Arabidopsis thaliana: one gene and its partners. The protein of the gene in region 1 interacts with the protein of each later gene in a pairwise test. Each region holds a gene or a part of one and is shown on either strand. Other genes may lie near its edges.

What was found.
Region 2: the proteins of ASIL2 (region 1) and EMB1135 interact in a two-hybrid assay, tested with the Arabidopsis thaliana proteins (one large-scale study listed by BioGRID).
Region 3: the proteins of ASIL2 (region 1) and AT2G47890 interact in a two-hybrid assay, tested with the Arabidopsis thaliana proteins (one large-scale study listed by BioGRID).
Region 4: the proteins of ASIL2 (region 1) and AT3G19120 interact in a two-hybrid assay, tested with the Arabidopsis thaliana proteins (one large-scale study listed by BioGRID).

Annotation. Positions count from the first base shown.
Region 1 is NC_003074.8:4,706,298-4,711,103, reverse strand, and holds ASIL2 (sequence-specific DNA binding transcription factor), read left to right. Parts: upstream 1-1,927; 5' UTR 1,928-2,482; coding exon 2,483-3,814; 3' UTR 3,815-4,302; downstream 4,303-4,806. Other genes in the region: AT3G14190 (uncharacterized protein), read right to left, coding at 1-46, 131-197. UniProt on the Arabidopsis thaliana protein: Transcription regulator that may repress the maturation program during early embryogenesis.
Region 2 is NC_003070.9:29,850,466-29,855,121, reverse strand, and holds the start of EMB1135 (RING/FYVE/PHD zinc finger superfamily protein), read left to right. Parts: upstream 1-1,655; 5' UTR 1,656-1,906; coding exon 1,907-2,515; intron 2,516-2,592; coding exon 2,593-2,766; intron 2,767-2,851; coding exon 2,852-2,982; intron 2,983-3,175; coding exon 3,176-3,252; intron 3,253-3,841; coding exon 3,842-4,023; intron 4,024-4,213; coding exon 4,214-4,291; intron 4,292-4,502; coding exon 4,503-4,635; intron 4,636-4,656. Other genes in the region: OCT2 (organic cation/carnitine transporter 2), read left to right, coding at 1-982. UniProt on the Arabidopsis thaliana protein: Required for normal embryo development. Necessary to acquire heat stress (HS) memory, by modulating nucleosome occupancy and regulating heat-induced gene expression.
Region 3 is NC_003071.7:19,606,417-19,610,831, forward strand, and holds AT2G47890 (B-box type zinc finger protein with CCT domain-containing protein), read left to right. Parts: upstream 1-1,579; 5' UTR 1,580-1,828; coding exon 1,829-2,299; intron 2,300-2,377; coding exon 2,378-2,539; coding exon of another isoform or gene 2,540-2,620; exon of another isoform or gene 2,621-2,622; coding exon 2,623-2,894; coding exon of another isoform or gene 2,895-2,898; exon of another isoform or gene 2,899-2,966; coding exon 2,967-3,060; 3' UTR 3,061-3,871; downstream 3,872-4,415.
Region 4 is NC_003074.8:6,608,811-6,613,088, reverse strand, and holds AT3G19120 (PIF / Ping-Pong family of plant transposase), read left to right. Parts: upstream 1-1,950; 5' UTR 1,951-2,070; coding exon 2,071-3,411; 3' UTR 3,412-3,739; downstream 3,740-4,278. Other genes in the region: RBP47B (RNA-binding protein 47B), read left to right, coding at 75-558, 735-817, 901-1,031, 1,145-1,238, 1,575-1,691; AT3G19100 (Protein kinase superfamily protein), read right to left, coding at 4,109-4,252.

The DNA of each region.
Region 1 (4,806 bases):
CCAAGTACAGTCCCTTTGGATTTCACAGAAGCAGCAGTGACAGACTCTGTAAATAATAGCCAAGAAAGAAAATGTTAAATCTTTGTTTCAAAGCAATATGATTTAAAGAGAGTAGAGAAAGATTAACTACTTTTGCGATGAATTGGAGCGTTCTCGTCTGGGAAGATCATTTGTTGAAGAGCGTTCATGTTCGCCATATGGTTTTAACTGTGAATCATCAAAGAACCAATTGCAGAAACGAAGATTTGATTCCAGAACTGACGATTTTAAGCAATTAGAAACCCTAAAAAAGGTAACAGAAACCCAACTCGAAATCGAAACAAAGATCGTTTTTTTCACAAAACCCAATTCGATCCTCAAGCAAATTTAACACCACAGACCCCAGAAACCCAGAACGAATCAAGTAGCGACATACGAAAAGAAGAACAAACAATCGCAAGAAGAACAGTCTATAATGTGAACCTAAATCAGAAGGAAGAAAGAGATTACCTTTGTAAAAGTGAAGAAGTTTCTTGGTGAGATTCTTGTTGGAAGAGAAGTGTATAAGAAGATGAAGAAGAGCGCTTAGAGTGTTTAACGGTAACTTTTCAATGTTGTTCTGACGAAATAATGAAGAACCTCCGGGATTAGGCCAAAAAAAGTAAATTTATAGAAGAAGAGAAAAAGTTTCTAGCCGTTGGCAGAATATTTTAATGCAGGCCTAATCAAGAATTGGCCCAGGTACAGGCCCATCACATAAATCAAATTGACGGCATCAAACTATCATGTAAGATAGAAGCAAAACATGTCACACTTCTCTAAGTTATCTTCTTATCGGCTAGATTTATCATCATCCTTGATTAAATCTCCTTAATTTTGGAAGGTTAAATTATAGGTAAAGTGTATATAATTAGTCTAACCAAGGATATTCAACGCTTCTCGTTCCTGTTCCTTATATAAAACCATTATCCTCACATAAAGAAGACTTAACAAAAAAAAAACTCTTTTCAAAACACATTAGAGACAATTAACAAGAAAAACCCTTCTAATAATTTGATCAGAGATATGGGTTTTTCGCACAAGTTGTGGGATGAAACTTTGGCCGGTCCAACGCCGGAAAATGGTCTCGGGAAGTTGAGAAACCACATATCCGGTGAAAGTGCCAACCGGAAGTTGATGGTGGATCTGAAACGTGTCCCGAATTCTCCTGACCGTTCAAGCAACCCCGTTTCCCCTTTGACTCTTATGTTACCTTTTTTAAAAATCCTTTCTGATCCACTTTTTTTTTATCTTCTATGCTTGTGTTATGAGCAGTTAAAACCCTATATATTCATGTAAATTAAAGACTTTGCAAGGTGATACATATGTTCATAGTCATTATAAGCTTTTTTTTATTATTTTTTTTTTTTATTTTGACATCCATAATCATTATTAGCTTGAGAGTATTATGGATTTGTAAATTAATGATTACCAAAATCATTTGTATGCAGCTGGAACACCAAGTGAAACACATGCTACAAGTCTCAATGCTTGCGATTGGTTTGATCTCCCTCTCTTTTCTTTCCTCTCAAACTATACTTCATTTTATCCAACGCATTATCGCTTTCATTAGTACCACCATATCTAATTAACGTCCGGTAATACTGCAGGATTGTGCTAAACGCATTGGACCGTTGAAAAATATTACAAGGTATTTCTACGAGAAGAAGAAGTATCCCAAACTACTTTTCTTTGTATATATATATTTGCTGTGTACATAACATAATGGTCGCTTTTGGTGTTTTGAGATTTGAGAAATATTAAATTTCTGTTTGTTTCACAATTCACGAAGATTATATAAGGTCTTTTTGAAACATAGTATTTCTGGAATGTTTAAAGTTGTATCTTTGACAATGGTGAAAAGAAAAAATGATACTAAGTGATAACATGCTAACGTAGCGTATGGAAAGCCCAATAAAAACCCATGCCCAAAGTAAATAACATCCACGTCACCGTTCTTATTGTTAAAAGAGAGACTAATTCGAATCGATTTAACGAATGAAGCAAGACAACGAAGGAAGACAACTGGAAACTATCGACGGACTAAAAAAAGTCTACGACCGATATTGAAACTGACGGTTAGGCTAAGGGTAATTTCGGTACATCACCGGAAAAATGGTTCACGGGGATAGTTCCGGTAATTATAGTAAAACTAGATGGGCTTTTCCGTCAATACACTTCCTCATCGGATTACGAAGAAATGGGGAAATTACGATACAAACCCATCTTTTACCCCTAAACCGAGCCGGCAACTTTACCGGTGACGGAATCTTACCTCTGACCTACCAATCACGTCATTCCACGTCATCTCCCCGTATCTTCTCACGTCCTTCCACGTGTCCCCTCTACTCACCGACGCCGTCTCCTTCCCGTTTACCCCTCCCGAACAGAATATTAACCCAAACCCTAACCCTATCTCCCTCTTTCACGAGCTTCTGACTCAGATCCGGCGATATCGAATTCCATGGAGGACGATGAAGACATCCGATCTCAGGGTTCCGATTCACCTGATCCGTCTTCCTCCCCGCCGGCGGGACGAATCACGGTTACGGTGGCTTCGGCAGGTCCGCCTTCTTATTCTCTGACTCCTCCGGGTAATTCGTCGCAGAAGGATCCGGATGCGTTGGCTCTGGCGCTGCTTCCGATTCAGGCCAGCGGTGGAGGGAATAACAGCAGTGGGAGACCAACCGGCGGCGGCGGGAGGGAGGATTGTTGGAGCGAAGCAGCTACGGCTGTGTTGATTGATGCGTGGGGTGAGAGATACTTGGAGCTTAGCAGAGGGAATCTGAAGCAGAAGCACTGGAAAGAGGTGGCTGAGATTGTGAGCAGCAGAGAGGATTACGGTAAAATTCCCAAAACTGATATACAGTGTAAGAATAGGATCGATACGGTGAAGAAGAAGTATAAACAAGAGAAGGTGAGAATCGCTAACGGCGGTGGCCGTAGCAGATGGGTGTTCTTCGACAAGCTTGACCGTCTGATTGGATCAACGGCGAAGATCCCGACGGCAACTTCTGGAGTCAGCGGTCCTGTCGGAGGATTGCATAAGATTCCTATGGGTATTCCAATGGGAAGTCGTTCGAATCTGTACCATCAGCAAGCTAAGGCTGCAACACCGCCTTTCAATAATCTTGACCGGTTAATTGGAGCTACGGCTAGAGTCTCAGCTGCTTCTTTCGGTGGCAGTGGTGGAGGAGGCGGAGGAGGATCTGTCAATGTACCTATGGGAATTCCGATGAGTAGCCGTTCAGCTCCGTTTGGACAGCAAGGGAGGACTCTGCCACAGCAAGGTAGGACACTGCCACAGCAACAGCAGCAAGGGATGATGGTGAAAAGGTGTAGTGAGTCGAAACGCTGGCGTTTCAGGAAGAGGAACGCTTCTGATTCAGACTCGGAATCTGAAGCAGCAATGTCAGATGATTCCGGTGACAGTTTACCACCTCCTCCTCTGTCGAAGAGGATGAAGACGGAGGAGAAGAAGAAGCAAGATGGTGATGGAGTGGGGAACAAATGGAGGGAGCTGACTCGGGCAATCATGAGATTCGGTGAAGCTTATGAGCAAACAGAGAATGCGAAACTGCAACAGGTGGTTGAGATGGAGAAAGAGAGGATGAAGTTCTTGAAGGAGCTTGAGTTGCAGAGAATGCAGTTCTTTGTGAAGACTCAATTGGAGATATCACAACTTAAGCAGCAACATGGGAGGAGAATGGGAAACACCAGTAATGATCATCATCACAGCCGCAAGAACAACATCAATGCGATTGTCAACAACAACAACGATTTGGGTAATAACTAGAATTTAGTGATGCAGTGTCGTAATTGATATATTTTAGATTTGAGTCTTTAATTGTTGAAAGAGAAACTGAAACTTATCTAGGCTTCATGAGTGTATTAATATTTTGCATATCTTTCTTAACTTTGGTCATATGGAACAGATTTAACTTCACTAGATTGCCTGAGATCATTCTGCTGCAGACTCTTGTGCACGTTTTTGAACTTCTCTTAATCTCTGAGTTAGATTGTGTTTCACTAGTTAGGTTAGAACATGGCATAGGACATTTTTGACACAATCCAACCGCAAAATCTTAAAGCTATGTTTGGTTATTATGACATTGGAGATTTGCATGTGTACCTAAAAGCATTTTTTTAACTCTTTTTCTTTTGAGTAATTGTTTGAGCTAGATTTTCTTGTGTCTGAAGCATCATTCAAACCACCAATGATGATCTTCTATAAAAGAAGAATGTTAGGCAAGAAACCTTTTCGTTGGTCTGTTTATTTATTTTTCTATGATGTTTGCCTTTTGGCATTTTATAGGTACTAAACAAATGACAGTCAATTCAAATTCATTACACATAGATGTTTCTCACAATTTTACCTTCCGCACTAAGCTAATATTCATGTATCGAAAGGTGAATCATGATATTTGAGTAAAAATACCATCTTCCGAGTCCCACCGTAACATCATTCTAACTTGCACTATTCTTATTTTTTTTTGAAACGAATACAATAATGAAAACGTAAGAAATAAAGCATCTTGAAATCTTCTGAATTTTGTTTTTGTTTTAGGTAGAAAAGAGTTTGATTCCAAAGGTCCACGTGTGTTTAGACATATAGATTAGATATTATCTAATGATATATTGGTATCACTAGGATTACTAATCAAGATTTTTCCTTAGTAAAGTTCAAAATAAAGTTTTTTTTTTCAAAATAAAGTTTTTTTTTGGAACTAAATCTAGCAATAAAAGTAGTGATTACTAAAGAAATAGTAAATTATTAATGTAACAAAT
Region 2 (4,656 bases), on another chromosome or scaffold:
AGTAGGGATAATGAGTTTCTTCGGATTCATGCTTGGCTTTTTGTCTCTTCCTTTGATGGCTTACATGAACAGAGGAAGTTCTTGGAGGATTCTCTACGCATGGACTTCGATTCCAACGATAATATACTGCGTTCTTGTTCGGTTTTTCGTTTGTGAGTCTCCAAGGTGGCTTTTCGTTAGAGGCCGTAGAGAAGAAGCTATTTCGATTCTCAAAAGGGTTGCTTCGATTCCGTCTACTGATGTAAGCAGTGGTGGTGCAATATCTATGAGTTTTTCGAGCTTACCTTTTGAAGAAGATGAAGAGAAGCCTAGTACTAATGTTAACATCTTCACGACCATGAAGGTGTTGGTAGAGAAAAGATGGGCGCTTAAGAGATTATCCGCGGTAATGGCCATTGCGTTCGGGATTGGTTTGGTCTATTACGGGATGCCTTTAGCGTTATCGAATCTTGATTTCAACATCTATTTAAGTGCAGCGTTTAATGCGTTGATGGATTTACCAGCGAACCTCATCACGCTTTTCCTAGTCGATAAACTCAGTAGGAGAAACGCGCTTATCGGATTTACGGCTTTAGGTGGAGTCTCTAGCGTTCTCATATTTGCGTTACATAATATGAGAATTGGAAACCACGGGGCGTTACAGTTGGCGTTAGAGCTAATCTCTTACTTTAGCGCGTGTTCGGCTTTTAACATGGAGATGATATACACGATCGAGCTGTTTCCGACATGTGTGAGAAACTCGGCTATCGCAATGGCTAGACAGGCTTTGGTGCTTGGTGGAGTTTTCAGCCCTATTATGGTAGCAGCTGGTCGGAAAAACGCGTTCTGGTCGTTCGGATTGTTTGGTCTTGCTATAGGTTTGTTGGGATTGTTTGCAGTTGGATTGCCAGAGACTAGAGGGAGTGATCTATGTGACACTATGGACGAGGAAGAGTGCAAAGACCGGCGGAGTAAAGTCGCCGTTAATAATGTCATTGCATGAAATGGTGAAGAATTTGAAAACACATGTGAAATTAATGTAGATTTAATTTAGTATTTATCACTTGATTACATTAAGACTTACCACATATCTTTTTTTTTGGTTAGTTGAAAAGTGTTTCTAAGAATGAGCCATCAAAGCACCACTCTGATGAAACAATCTCATTTTACAGTTTACACCTATAACACATGGATTTCTTGAATAACAAAATAATTCAAATTTGTCTCGTTTGGATATTGATGCCGATGGTTAAACGTTTGGCTGTTTGATTTTTGTTAGAGATAATTGTGTTTCTGTTCTAATTTTCACACGTTGTGTGAAAATGAATCGTTCCAATCCCAAGAAAGTATATTCATTGGGGTTGTTGGTAGTTGGCTGTTTGGTAATTGAATGGGAAGAACAAACCAGACAGAAATTTGTACACTTCTTGGTAGATATGTTTAAAAGGTTTAATTTACAAATAGGCCCATCTATCAGCCCTTTTGTAACCCTTTTAGGCCCAACTAAGTGGTCTCAAAGTTCACAAACCCAAAACTTATGTGGATTTATTATTTTAAGCCCACACAAACTAACGAACGGTGAGCTGGCAAGTCACGTGATGACACGTGATCCATCAACCCATCACTTACCATTACCCCAACCGGTACGGAAGTGGTTTTGTATCTTCCTACTTCGACTCCTCTTGGGTAATTATAATTAGTTTTAGATGAACCAAACAATCCCAAAATAATATTAGAAAAAGGGAAGAAAATCTGAAACCAAAAAAAACGAGAAGGGAGTCGAAGAAGAACCTTTCGCGCTCTGACGAAATTCATTACTTACACTGGATTTATACTTTTTTTGTCTTCCTCTCTCAATTATCTCCTTCAACGCCACAAGATCCTAAGGCCTCTCACGGATCTCTCTTAAGATCAATCGCCGCGGCTCATGACGCAGTCGCCTGTTCAACCGCCTCCGCCGCTCCCAGCTCAGCCGCATTCCGCCGCCGGAGGTGTAATAAGAGGCGATGTACAGGTTAGGTGCGCAGGCTGTCGCGTGATTCTGAGGGTGAAAACCGGCGTTGTGGAGTTCTCGTGTCCGACTTGTCAACTTCCCCAAATGTTGCCGCCGGAGCTTCTTTCTAGGGCACGGCCGCAGTTTCCGCAGTCTCCACAACAACCACCACAGCCAATTCAGACGCTTCCGCCACCGATTCAACAGCAGCTTAAGCCTCTTAATCTACCTAGGCCTCCGGTTCCGGCACATGGAATCGATCCGACGAAGATGCAATTGCCTTGCGCTAACTGTCAGGCTATCCTCAATGTGCCTCATGGACTCACTCGGTTCTCGTGTCCTCAGTGCCATGTCGAGCTCGCTGTTGATGTCTCCAAGCTTAATCGGTCTTTAACTGCTTCTCAATCTCATTCTAATCCTCCTACTCCTGCTGCTCCCACAGTCCCGCCTCCGCCTCCTCCCGAAGAAGTCAATGAGGAAGCTATTGAAGTGGAGAGAGAAGAAGATGAAGGTGGAACGGCTGGAGAAACGTTTATGGATTATGTGAGTGCCTCATCTTGAGATCATCTTTTTCTGTCTGTTCAATGTTTTTGATGATACTAATTTGTTTCTTTGTGAAGCGTCCCCCAAAACTTTCGATCGGACCTCCTCATCCTGATCCAATTGTGGAAACATCATCTCTATCTGCAGTGCAACCCCCAGAGCCTACTTATGATCTCAAAATCAAGGAAGAGCTTGAAAGGTCAAAGGCTTTATCGTGTTTGCAGATTGAGACATTAGTTTACGCTTGCCAGGTTGCTTTTAAATGGCAAAAAGTTTGGTTAATGGCATTTAAACGTATCTTCTACCTGTATGACAATGGTTTTTTTTTTATTACAGAGGCATCTCCAGCACCTTGCTGATGGTACCAGAGCAGGCTTTTTTGTTGGAGATGGTGCTGGTGTGGGCAAAGGGCGAACAATTGCCGGGTTGATTTGGGAAAATTGGAAACATGGAAGGAGGAAAGCTTTGTAAGTCTTGTAGAAAGATACTTCTGCGCCATTTACATCCTTGATAAGATATTGTTAGCTCAATTCAATCTGACTTATGATTATACTACATTTGCATAATTGTGTCTACGGTGTCCTTTTTTGGTTTCTTAGATAACTTAAAGTAGGATGAGTTCTAATACTATTTGCTCCTTTTCCTTTATGATTTACATAGGTGGATTTCTATTGGCTCAGACTTGAAATATGATGCAAGAAGGGACTTGGATGATGTGGGTGCTACATGCGTTGGAGGTATTATCTTGATTTTGGCTGTAAATTAAGTTTGTAATTCGCTTATTTTCTTGGGTCACAAATGCTTCATATGTTATACATAATTACATATAGCTTATGCTATAAATTATTTTCTGGCTCATTGTTGAATAGAAAATTTTGAAAGTGGATGGTATAGAGTAGACTGGATCAGAATGAGATTCTGACTTTGCTGAATGGATAAATTGACTCATGCTTTAATATTACGATGTAGAGTACACATGTATTTTTAGAGAACTTATTTTCTTTACTGATAAAGGTAATGGGTCCCTGAACTTTGTTTATGGTGTCTTCATGCCTAGAGAATGTTATGGGTAGCTGATGTTTGTGCAGTTCATGAAAATTTCAGGTAAATAAAAGTTGGACTGTAACTTTAGAATAGTCCAATAGGATATTTGATTCTTAGTCTCATTAATCCTTTATAGGTTTGAGCTTGGAATTTTAATAGAATATTAGGAGATGGAAAAATACGACAAATCAAGGGAACCATGTCGATGGATAAGTTCATTCAAGTGAACAAATGTCCAGTTTGTTTTTTCTGCAACTAAATAACAATATGTTTGACGTGCAGTGAATCCTTTGAACAAGCTACCCTATTCTAAGCTTGACTCGAAAAATGTTGGTATTAAAGAAGGAGTGGTATTCTTGACATACAATAGCCTCATTGCTTCCTCTGAGAAGGGCCGTTCTCGTTTACAGCAGCTTGTTCAATGGTGTGGACCAGAATTTGATGGTCTCTTGATCTTTGATGAGGTAACAGTTCTATGAATGAAGTATATTAAATTATTTGCGTTAAAATCATCATCCCCCTTTTTTTGTGAATTGAACAATTTGAGTATACCCTGTCGTTGTAAGTTGCTTGATCACTGGTTTTATCAATTTTGGGCCAACCTCTAATCTTTAGTACATTGTGCAGGTACTAATTTGTTTTCCTTTTTTATAGTGCCATAAAGCGAAAAATTTGGTACCTGAAGCTGGGAGTCAGCCGACACGCATCGGACAGGCAGTTGTTGACATTCAGGTCTGGCTACTTGAAACTGAATGTTCTTATCAGTGTTGCTTTTAATATTGCTCTTGGCTCTGAAGAGTGAGAGATTATATACTTCGACTTGTCTTTTTGGGTTGTACTTTTTCTCGGTTTCAGATAATATAGTGTATATTCTAGTTTAACATGCTTAATTTGTGGTTAGTGCCATCTAGTTGACTCTAACTAATGAATTCTGGAAAAGCAGGATAAGATCCCCCAAGCACGTGTTATTTATTGCTCGGCTACTGGGGCATCAGAACCACGAAACATGGGTTATATGGTCAGGCTTGGTCTTTGGGGAGCTGGAACAAGTTTTAGTGATTTTAACAAATTCCTAGGTTGGTTTTCTTTTCTACTCC
Region 3 (4,415 bases), on another chromosome or scaffold:
TACTAACGAATCATATGAATAGTTGTTTTATATACGGTACATTAACGATCCTCTCATCAGCTTTATAGATAACGAAGCATATTATTCTCCTTAGTTCCGCTTTTTATCACTTGAGATTAAACTCTACTCACAGGTTTAAGCACGTAAATTAGTTACTAAATAATGGATTTGACATTTACGCTTTGCATGCTTATATATGTTACCCATAATTATTTCCCTTTAGTTACTTAAAGTTACCAAAATCAACTACTTCAAGATTCTCCAATCAAAAGAAGCGTGTAAAAGCCTCTATAGTTATATAGTAGTATATAGACCTTGAAGATTTCTTTTTGAAGAAAATATGATTATACTGAGTTCAAAAGGTCGAAAAGAAATAATAAAGGTAGAATCCCTTTACATGATGTGTGGAACAACTTTTCTTGACCTCCAACTTCTTGGGATCGTGGGAAATATATAGGAGAATCTAATCGGAAGTTGTACAGAACGTGTAAGAACTAAGAACCATATTCACTTTGTTGTCATTGTTATAAGATTCAAGATTCTTTGACCGGCGCGTGAAAAAAGCATCCACCTATAGGCTCAAGATTCGTGTCCAAGAAAATATCGAGAACCGATGATTACTTGGAAAGTGGACCATTTTTTAAAAAATCAAAAATTAAAAAAGGAACGTAGCTCATGCGAATAGTTTAGTCCACCAAAGTGAAATGGTAGAACATTTGGTTTCAGTTTAGTTGTGTGTATTTTTATTAAAGGCTTCAGAATCAATTTCGATTTTTGAAAAATGAGTTTTTATAGCCATGTTAGTATGTTACGAGGATGGAAAAGCAACCTAGCTAGATTATCTTGTGATATGTGTTATTGTTCAAGAGAAGTAGGGGCAGTAGTTGTCGAGATCATGTTATTAGTGTCGCTGGAATGTTAGATATTGCCCATCCTGTCTCTTTTTCCCCATCGTGCCCTAAAAGTCAAACTATGCATGGTATTAGCTAATCTTGAATAGGTTTAATTCAGTACGGAAACTCTAATTGAAAACTACCTTCATGGAGTAATAGTTATCGAGGAACGATGATGAGGTATTAGTGGAGATAAGCAGATTTGGACTCAATATCAAAAATTAATGGTGGGATCCATTTCCGTTTCACCTAATATACATAGTGGCAAACAAAAAACAAATATAAGAAGAAAAGATTCAGTATCGAGCATTCTAGCTATGTCGGTAACGTGACAAAGTCCTTTTTTTCGTTTGTCTGTTTCTTTAAAGTTAATCAAATCGGCCAACGCTGCCTCAACAACGAGCTTCCTTTTTCTAACGTCCCTAATTTGCCACGTCCATTTTCTGGACTAGTCCCGGTTTAAAAAATCTTCAGAGATGTATTCGTGGTCAACTTCATTAACTCTTTCTCTTGAGCCCTTCATTAGTTATGATCTTATTTACTTTTTAAAAATCTAACCAAGTACTGTATATTATATATGTGGTAGCCAAAATATTATGTTAAATTCTAGGCTAATCCGATATATCAAGAAAAATCAATATATAAAAATGGAGAGCTATTTTTCACGAGTTAAGTGAGAGAGATGAGTAAAGAAAGGCACGGGAAGGTGAAGAGAGTGTAGGTTTCCAGCTTCTTCCCCAAGAAATAAAATGTATTTGACTTTGTCTAAGCAAATATGTCGTCACTTTAACGTCATTCATTACCTAGAATGCAATTAAGATATGGCTTTTACATAAGCCACCAAATTTGGTTTTGTTGCCCCAAAATATCCCAAGAAAAGATCAACTTCTTCTTCTTACCAAAACTGTCGGCGTCGTCTCCTCTAAGCTCCTCCCATGGAAGCAGAAGAAGGTCATCAGCGTGACCGCCTCTGCGACTATTGCGACTCCTCCGTGGCTCTTGTCTACTGCAAAGCTGACTCCGCCAAGCTCTGCCTCGCCTGCGACAAGCAAGTCCACGTCGCCAACCAACTCTTCGCCAAACACTTCAGGTCACTTCTCTGCGACTCCTGCAACGAATCTCCCTCTTCCCTTTTCTGCGAGACTGAAAGGTCTGTTCTTTGCCAGAACTGCGACTGGCAACACCACACCGCCTCTTCCTCCCTTCATAGCCGCAGACCCTTTGAAGGATTTACCGGCTGTCCCTCCGTGCCTGAGTTGCTGGCCATCGTTGGCCTCGATGACCTCACTCTCGATTCCGGATTGCTTTGGGAGTCACCTGAGATCGTTAGCCTCAACGACCTTATTGTTTCGGGCGGGTCGGGTACTCATAACTTCCGGGCCACGGATGTTCCTCCTCTGCCTAAGGTATAACTTGCTCTGTTTTTTTTCTCGAGCCAATTGCTCGGTTTTTATATTTCTCTGAAATGTTTTGAAATGCTCCAGAATCGTCACGCCACCTGCGGGAAATACAAAGATGAGATGATCCGACAGCTCCGTGGACTATCCAGATCTGAGCCTGGTTGTCTGAAATTTGAAACCCCAGATGCTGAGATCGATGCCGGGTTCCAATTCCTAGCGCCGGATTTGTTTTCTACATGCGAGCTGGTAATAGAGACTGCTATTGGTTGTGTTTTCTTGTGCTTGTCAAATGATTTTCCAGCTTATAAATCTCTCTTGTCAATATGAAGGAGAGTGGACTGAAATGGTTCGATCAGCAAGATCATGAGGACTTTCCATATTGCTCTCTGCTAAAGAACTTGTCGGAGTCAGATGAGAAACCTGAGAATGTAGACCGAGAGTCATCGGTGATGGTTCCCGTTTCCGGCTGCTTAAACCGATGTGAGGAAGAGACTGTGATGGTTCCGGTTATCACTAGTACAAGGTCGATGACACATGAGATCAACAGTCTTGAGAGGAACTCTGCTCTCTCTCGCTACAAAGAAAAGAAGAAGTCTCGAAGGTAAACAAGCTAATTTAAAAAGTGAGACACCACCAATAGGATTGGGATTTGAATCATGTGTTGATGAAACAGGTACGAGAAACACATCAGGTATGAATCACGCAAGGTTCGTGCAGAAAGCAGGACAAGAATCAGGGGACGTTTCGCCAAGGCAGCAGATCCATGAATGATGATGAGGTTACTTTGATAATCAAAAATCTTTTGTATTAATCGAATCATATAGTGTGTATGATCAGATAAGTTTTTGTATTCTAAGCTTAGGAGTTATCACTGTATATCGACCACACTCTCAAAATTGTCACTTAAGAATAGTTTTTTTTTTGTTTTGCCTCCGATTCCTAATTTGCCAAAGGGCAAGCATGGACGAGCACAGAACAAAACATGGTTCACAGTTATATACAATCTCAAGACAAGCAAGCAGCAAAAGAACTTGTTGTAATGTTAGAAAGTGAGATTGGACCCATTAAAGATCCATGGAGCAAGAAGGGCTTGATGTAATTGATATTATGGGCTCAAGTTGTAACATAGTAAACCCAATATAGGTTGGCATGTTTGGGCCATTTTCTTTTAAAGCCCAAATATAAAAGCGTCTCTTCCCGATGGCCGGCGAAACAGAAATTCCGCTGCCGTCGCAGCTTTCACTCTTGTTTTTTTATTCAGATGAAATTGGATGGCCGATGAAGACAAACATCCAAAGGCATGGGCTCGCGGCAACAACTATTTGCAATCTACCAATATATAATAATCTGAGGCAGTATAAAAATACAAAAAAAAATGACAACACTTTTTGGCAGATCATTCCTGCTACGATGAATCTGTCCCAATGATAATCTGAGAAGTAAAGTAAGTTTTGGTTGAACAAGGAATCTGGAGTGGGTTTTACTTGTTGAGCAATCAGTAAGCACTAAATCATGTATCAGAGTTGTGGTTATATTCTCTATGTTCTTCTTAGAATTCAAATATGAATCTGACTTGGAGTTCTTTATTTTAATGATGGTTAATTTTACTGTTAATATTTTTGGATTTGAACATTTGGTGAAGAGTGGTTGCAGCTTGAAGCAATTTTGCATCTCTCACTCTTCGTTTACTGTTTGTTGACGTTGAAGATTAGGCCCCAACAAACTTGTATATAAGAGCCCTTCTCTGTTTATTCTCCTGTCTTAAGAGCGCTAAATCCCTTGGAGACATCTTCACCACACTGTTCAGAGATCTGTCATGGGCCCCGGAGGACCAGGAGGACCCGGAGGACCAGGGTTCTTGCCACCGGGAGGACCAGGCTTCTTCCCACCCATTGGTGGTTTCTTTTCTGGGTTCTCCGACATGATATGTTCCTGGTAAAGACATTCTCTGTTTTGCTATGTGTTTTGTAAAGAGTTAAGTGGTTAGTCTGACTGTGGAATCTTGCAGTCTATCTTGTCTGTGCTGCTGCTGGCTGCTACGAGATTGCTTTGGCGGCCCACCGCCACAAGGACCGCCACTTCTGCCACCCTATTATTGACCACATCTGACTCCATTGGTCAC
Region 4 (4,278 bases), 1.9 Mb from region 1:
ACTTATATCCAGTTATACATGTGTTCTGTTTTGTTCTTTCTCTGAAGTTTCTTGTTTTTTTTTGTGATGAGCAGGTTTCTTCTGTGAAAGTTATACGTAACAAGCTCACTTCTCAATCAGAAGGGTATGGGTTTGTTGAGTTTCTTTCACGTGCTGCAGCTGAAGAAGTTCTTCAGAACTATAGTGGTTCAGTGATGCCAAACTCGGACCAACCCTTCCGTATAAACTGGGCATCTTTTAGTACTGGTGAAAAAAGAGCAGTGGAAAATGGTCCAGACCTATCTGTTTTTGTGGGAGACTTGTCTCCAGATGTCACTGACGTTTTATTGCATGAGACCTTTTCTGATAGATATCCTTCTGTCAAAAGCGCCAAAGTTGTGATTGATTCCAACACCGGCCGGTCCAAAGGTTATGGTTTTGTGAGGTTCGGTGATGAAAATGAGAGGTCAAGGGCTTTGACAGAAATGAATGGAGCTTACTGTTCGAACAGGCAAATGCGTGTAGGTATTGCAACTCCCAAAAGAGCGATTGCTAATCAGCAACAACATTCTTCACAAGGTTTCTTTTCATACTTCTCTCTGCAACTAGTTTTACCCTCTGATTCTTTCTATTTAAGTGTACTAGTTTTAAGCGAGAGGTGAGCCAGTTTTAATCCATAGGACTCTAGAGCTAACAACTTGTTGCATTCAACAAAGTTTTTGAACTATAAAGATTTTATGTTTTCATTGGAATAGCTGTGATTCTGGCTGGTGGACATGGATCAAATGGTTCCATGGGTTATGGCTCGCAGTCTGATGGCGAATCAACTAACGCAACAGTGAGTTGTCATATTTAGTTATATGTCAGCATCATTCAAGCTCTATATGTTCTTGCTGCTCATCTTAGGTTATTCTACTGCAGATATTTGTTGGCGGCATTGACCCTGATGTTATTGATGAAGACCTCAGACAACCTTTTTCCCAGTTTGGAGAGGTTGTTTCAGTGAAGATCCCAGTAGGGAAAGGATGTGGATTTGTCCAATTTGCTGACAGGTGCTGTCTTCATCTAGTTAGTAGTGTTGGCTTGGCAATCATATGATTGAGCAACCTGTAGGTGCTTATCTCATAGCGAGTAATTCAAAGCGACTTGCCTTTGGTTTTGACAGGAAGAGTGCTGAAGATGCTATCGAGAGTTTGAACGGGACAGTCATCGGCAAGAACACTGTCAGACTCTCCTGGGGACGAAGCCCAAACAAGCAGGTAAAATTTCACTTTGGAGTTGATGCATTCTATCAGTAGAAGAGTAAATTGAGTATTTTGCTAGGGTCAAACTTTGTGAATAGTTGTTTGTTTTGTTATTAAAAGTAAAGTCAGTGGTTGACAATAATAGCTGGTGGAATCTAGCACCTTCCCTTCGTTTTCTATTTTGACTTATGCAAGTGGGAGAATATCTAATACATGTCTCCATGTCCAACTTGTGTCACCAACCCTGAACATGGTCTTATGTCGACATGTTTTGGTCTAGGACTTAACCAAATTGGTTCTGCTGGCAATAGATTTCTTTTTAGTTCTCATAATGTGTTCAACTTGTGGCAGTGGAGAGGAGACTCAGGGCAGCAGTGGAATGGAGGATACTCACGAGGACATGGTTACAACAATGGAGGAGGATATGCTAACCACCACGACTCCAACAACTATCATGGGGAGAATTGAAGAGACTCATCAAGTGATCATCTTCATCATGGTTTCACATATCAAAGCTAAAACCTGTAGTCGAAAGAAGAATTTTGTTAGATGGATTTGATTTTGATAGACTTGTTGTTTGGAGGAGATTCAAAAATTTTGGTTACTGGTTTGTCTCAGACTAATATAAATGGTTGCAACTTGTTGGATCAAAATTCCGCTTACCTTCTACGAATTGCTTATAAGCCCAAAACTTTCTGAAATTAAACAAACAACCCCAAAACTTTAAAATTATATTTATTAACTCACATTAATTTTAAATTTTTAGCTATTAGCCCTTTCTCTCTCACTTCTTCAGTTTTTCTTCTACTCTCAACCTCTCCGGAGAGAAAAAAATCGGAGAGTGAAGATGGAAGAAGCTTTCATGGCGATGCTCTCACATCTTCTCCATCTCCAAAACTCATTAGATCCTACAAGCACTCTCTTCTCTTCCGCATCCACATCTTCACAGTCTTCAACCACACCTTCCTCCCTCCTCTCCACTTCCTCCGCCGCGCCTTTACTCTTCTTCACTCTCGCATCTCTCCTCTCCTTCCTCGCCGTCAACAGATCTTCAACCGAATCCTCATCTTCCTCAGAATCACCTTCCCCTTCCCCTCCTCCGCCTCTTGCCGACGGCGATTACTCCGTCGCTGCCTTCCGTGCCCTAACCACAGACCACATCTGGTCACTCGATGCGCCTCTCCGCGACGCTCGTTGGCGCTCATTGTACGGTCTTTCCTACCCAGTCTTCATCACCGTCGTCGACAAGCTCAAACCATTCATCACCGCTTCAAATCTCTCTCTCCCCGCCGATTACGCCGTCGCTATGGTCCTCTCTCGTCTCGCTCATGGCTGCTCAGCTAAAACCCTAGCTTCTCGCTACTCACTAGATCCATACCTCATCTCCAAGATCACAAACATGGTCACACGTCTCTTAGCCACCAAGCTATATCCAGAATTCATCAAAATCCCCGTCGGAAAACGGAGATTGATCGAAACGACTCAGGGATTCGAAGAACTCACCTCTCTCCCCAACATTTGCGGCGCCATTGATAGTACTCCGGTGAAGCTCAGACGCCGCACGAAACTAAACCCTAGAAACATTTACGGTTGCAAGTACGGATACGACGCCGTTTTGCTTCAGGTTGTTGCTGATCACAAGAAGATCTTTTGGGACGTTTGTGTGAAAGCTCCAGGTGGAGAAGACGACTCTTCTCATTTCAGAGATAGTCTTCTATATAAGAGGCTTACTTCAGGAGACATTGTTTGGGAGAAAGTTATCAATATTAGAGGTCACCATGTGAGACCATACATTGTTGGAGATTGGTGTTATCCTCTTCTCTCATTCCTGATGACTCCATTTTCACCAAATGGCTCTGGTACGCCACCGGAGAATCTATTCGATGGAATGTTGATGAAAGGAAGGTCAGTGGTGGTGGAAGCTATTGGATTGCTCAAGGCTAGATGGAAGATTCTTCAGAGTTTGAATGTTGGTGTGAACCATGCTCCTCAGACTATTGTGGCTTGTTGTGTGTTGCATAATCTTTGTCAGATTGCTAGAGAACCTGAACCGGAGATTTGGAAGGATCCAGATGAAGCTGGAACGCCTGCAAGAGTTTTGGAGAGTGAGAGGCAGTTTTACTATTACGGGGAGAGTTTGAGGCAAGCATTGGCAGAAGATTTACACCAGAGACTCTCCTCGAGGTAAAAGACATGAACAGATCTTGGTCAAAAAATGGAGCTTTCTATCTTTGTTATCATGTAAGAAGCAGATGCTTTCAAGTGTTTAGAACTTTAGATAGCATTGTAGATTCAATCCTCTTGAGAAGAAAGTTTGAGGATTCAGAAATGTTAAAAAGCTGACTTTGTTGCCTAGCCATCCCAACTGTCAGTTTTGTAACTTAGGAATGGGTTTATGGTTTGTTCTGTAACACCTTTTGAGAATGAAATGTATGACTTCTATTGATATGGATTATGGAATCTTGAGAAGCAAGTTTTTCCGAATTTGAAATATTAATAGCTCTCTGTTACTGTAAGTTTTGTGACTTAGGAATGGGTTTTTATGATTTGCTTTGTGGCACATTGTGAATGGAATCTGAATCTTTTTCCTGGAAAAAATGGAGACAGCCAAATGAAAAGAGAAAGGGATGTTCTTAATATCTGTCTTCCATGATTTGGAAGAACACGACTGTGGATTATCATCTTATTATACAACTCTCCAGGCCTGTCGGATTTTTCTGGATACTCTCTTTCTTTGTCGGAACTTAGCATTCTTTTTCTAACACTATAAACATAGGAATGGGTCCTGAAAAAAATTCCAATTCCCAACCCCAATCCACCCATTTGCTTCTTGCAGTTGTATGTTCTTCCTCTTTCGAATCCGTTATAACACCGAGTCACTTTCCTCATCGCGTTTTCGCTAAAGATTGTCGAGTCGAGACACCGTGCAGCAGTTTGACAAAACCCAAGAAACTCAGCTTCCCGTCAGTATGTCTTATCCAGTCATTTAGAATGGTATGAACCGGGATGGATGATCCAACACCAAGTTCCTACAAAACATTTATGTTCCCTTCGT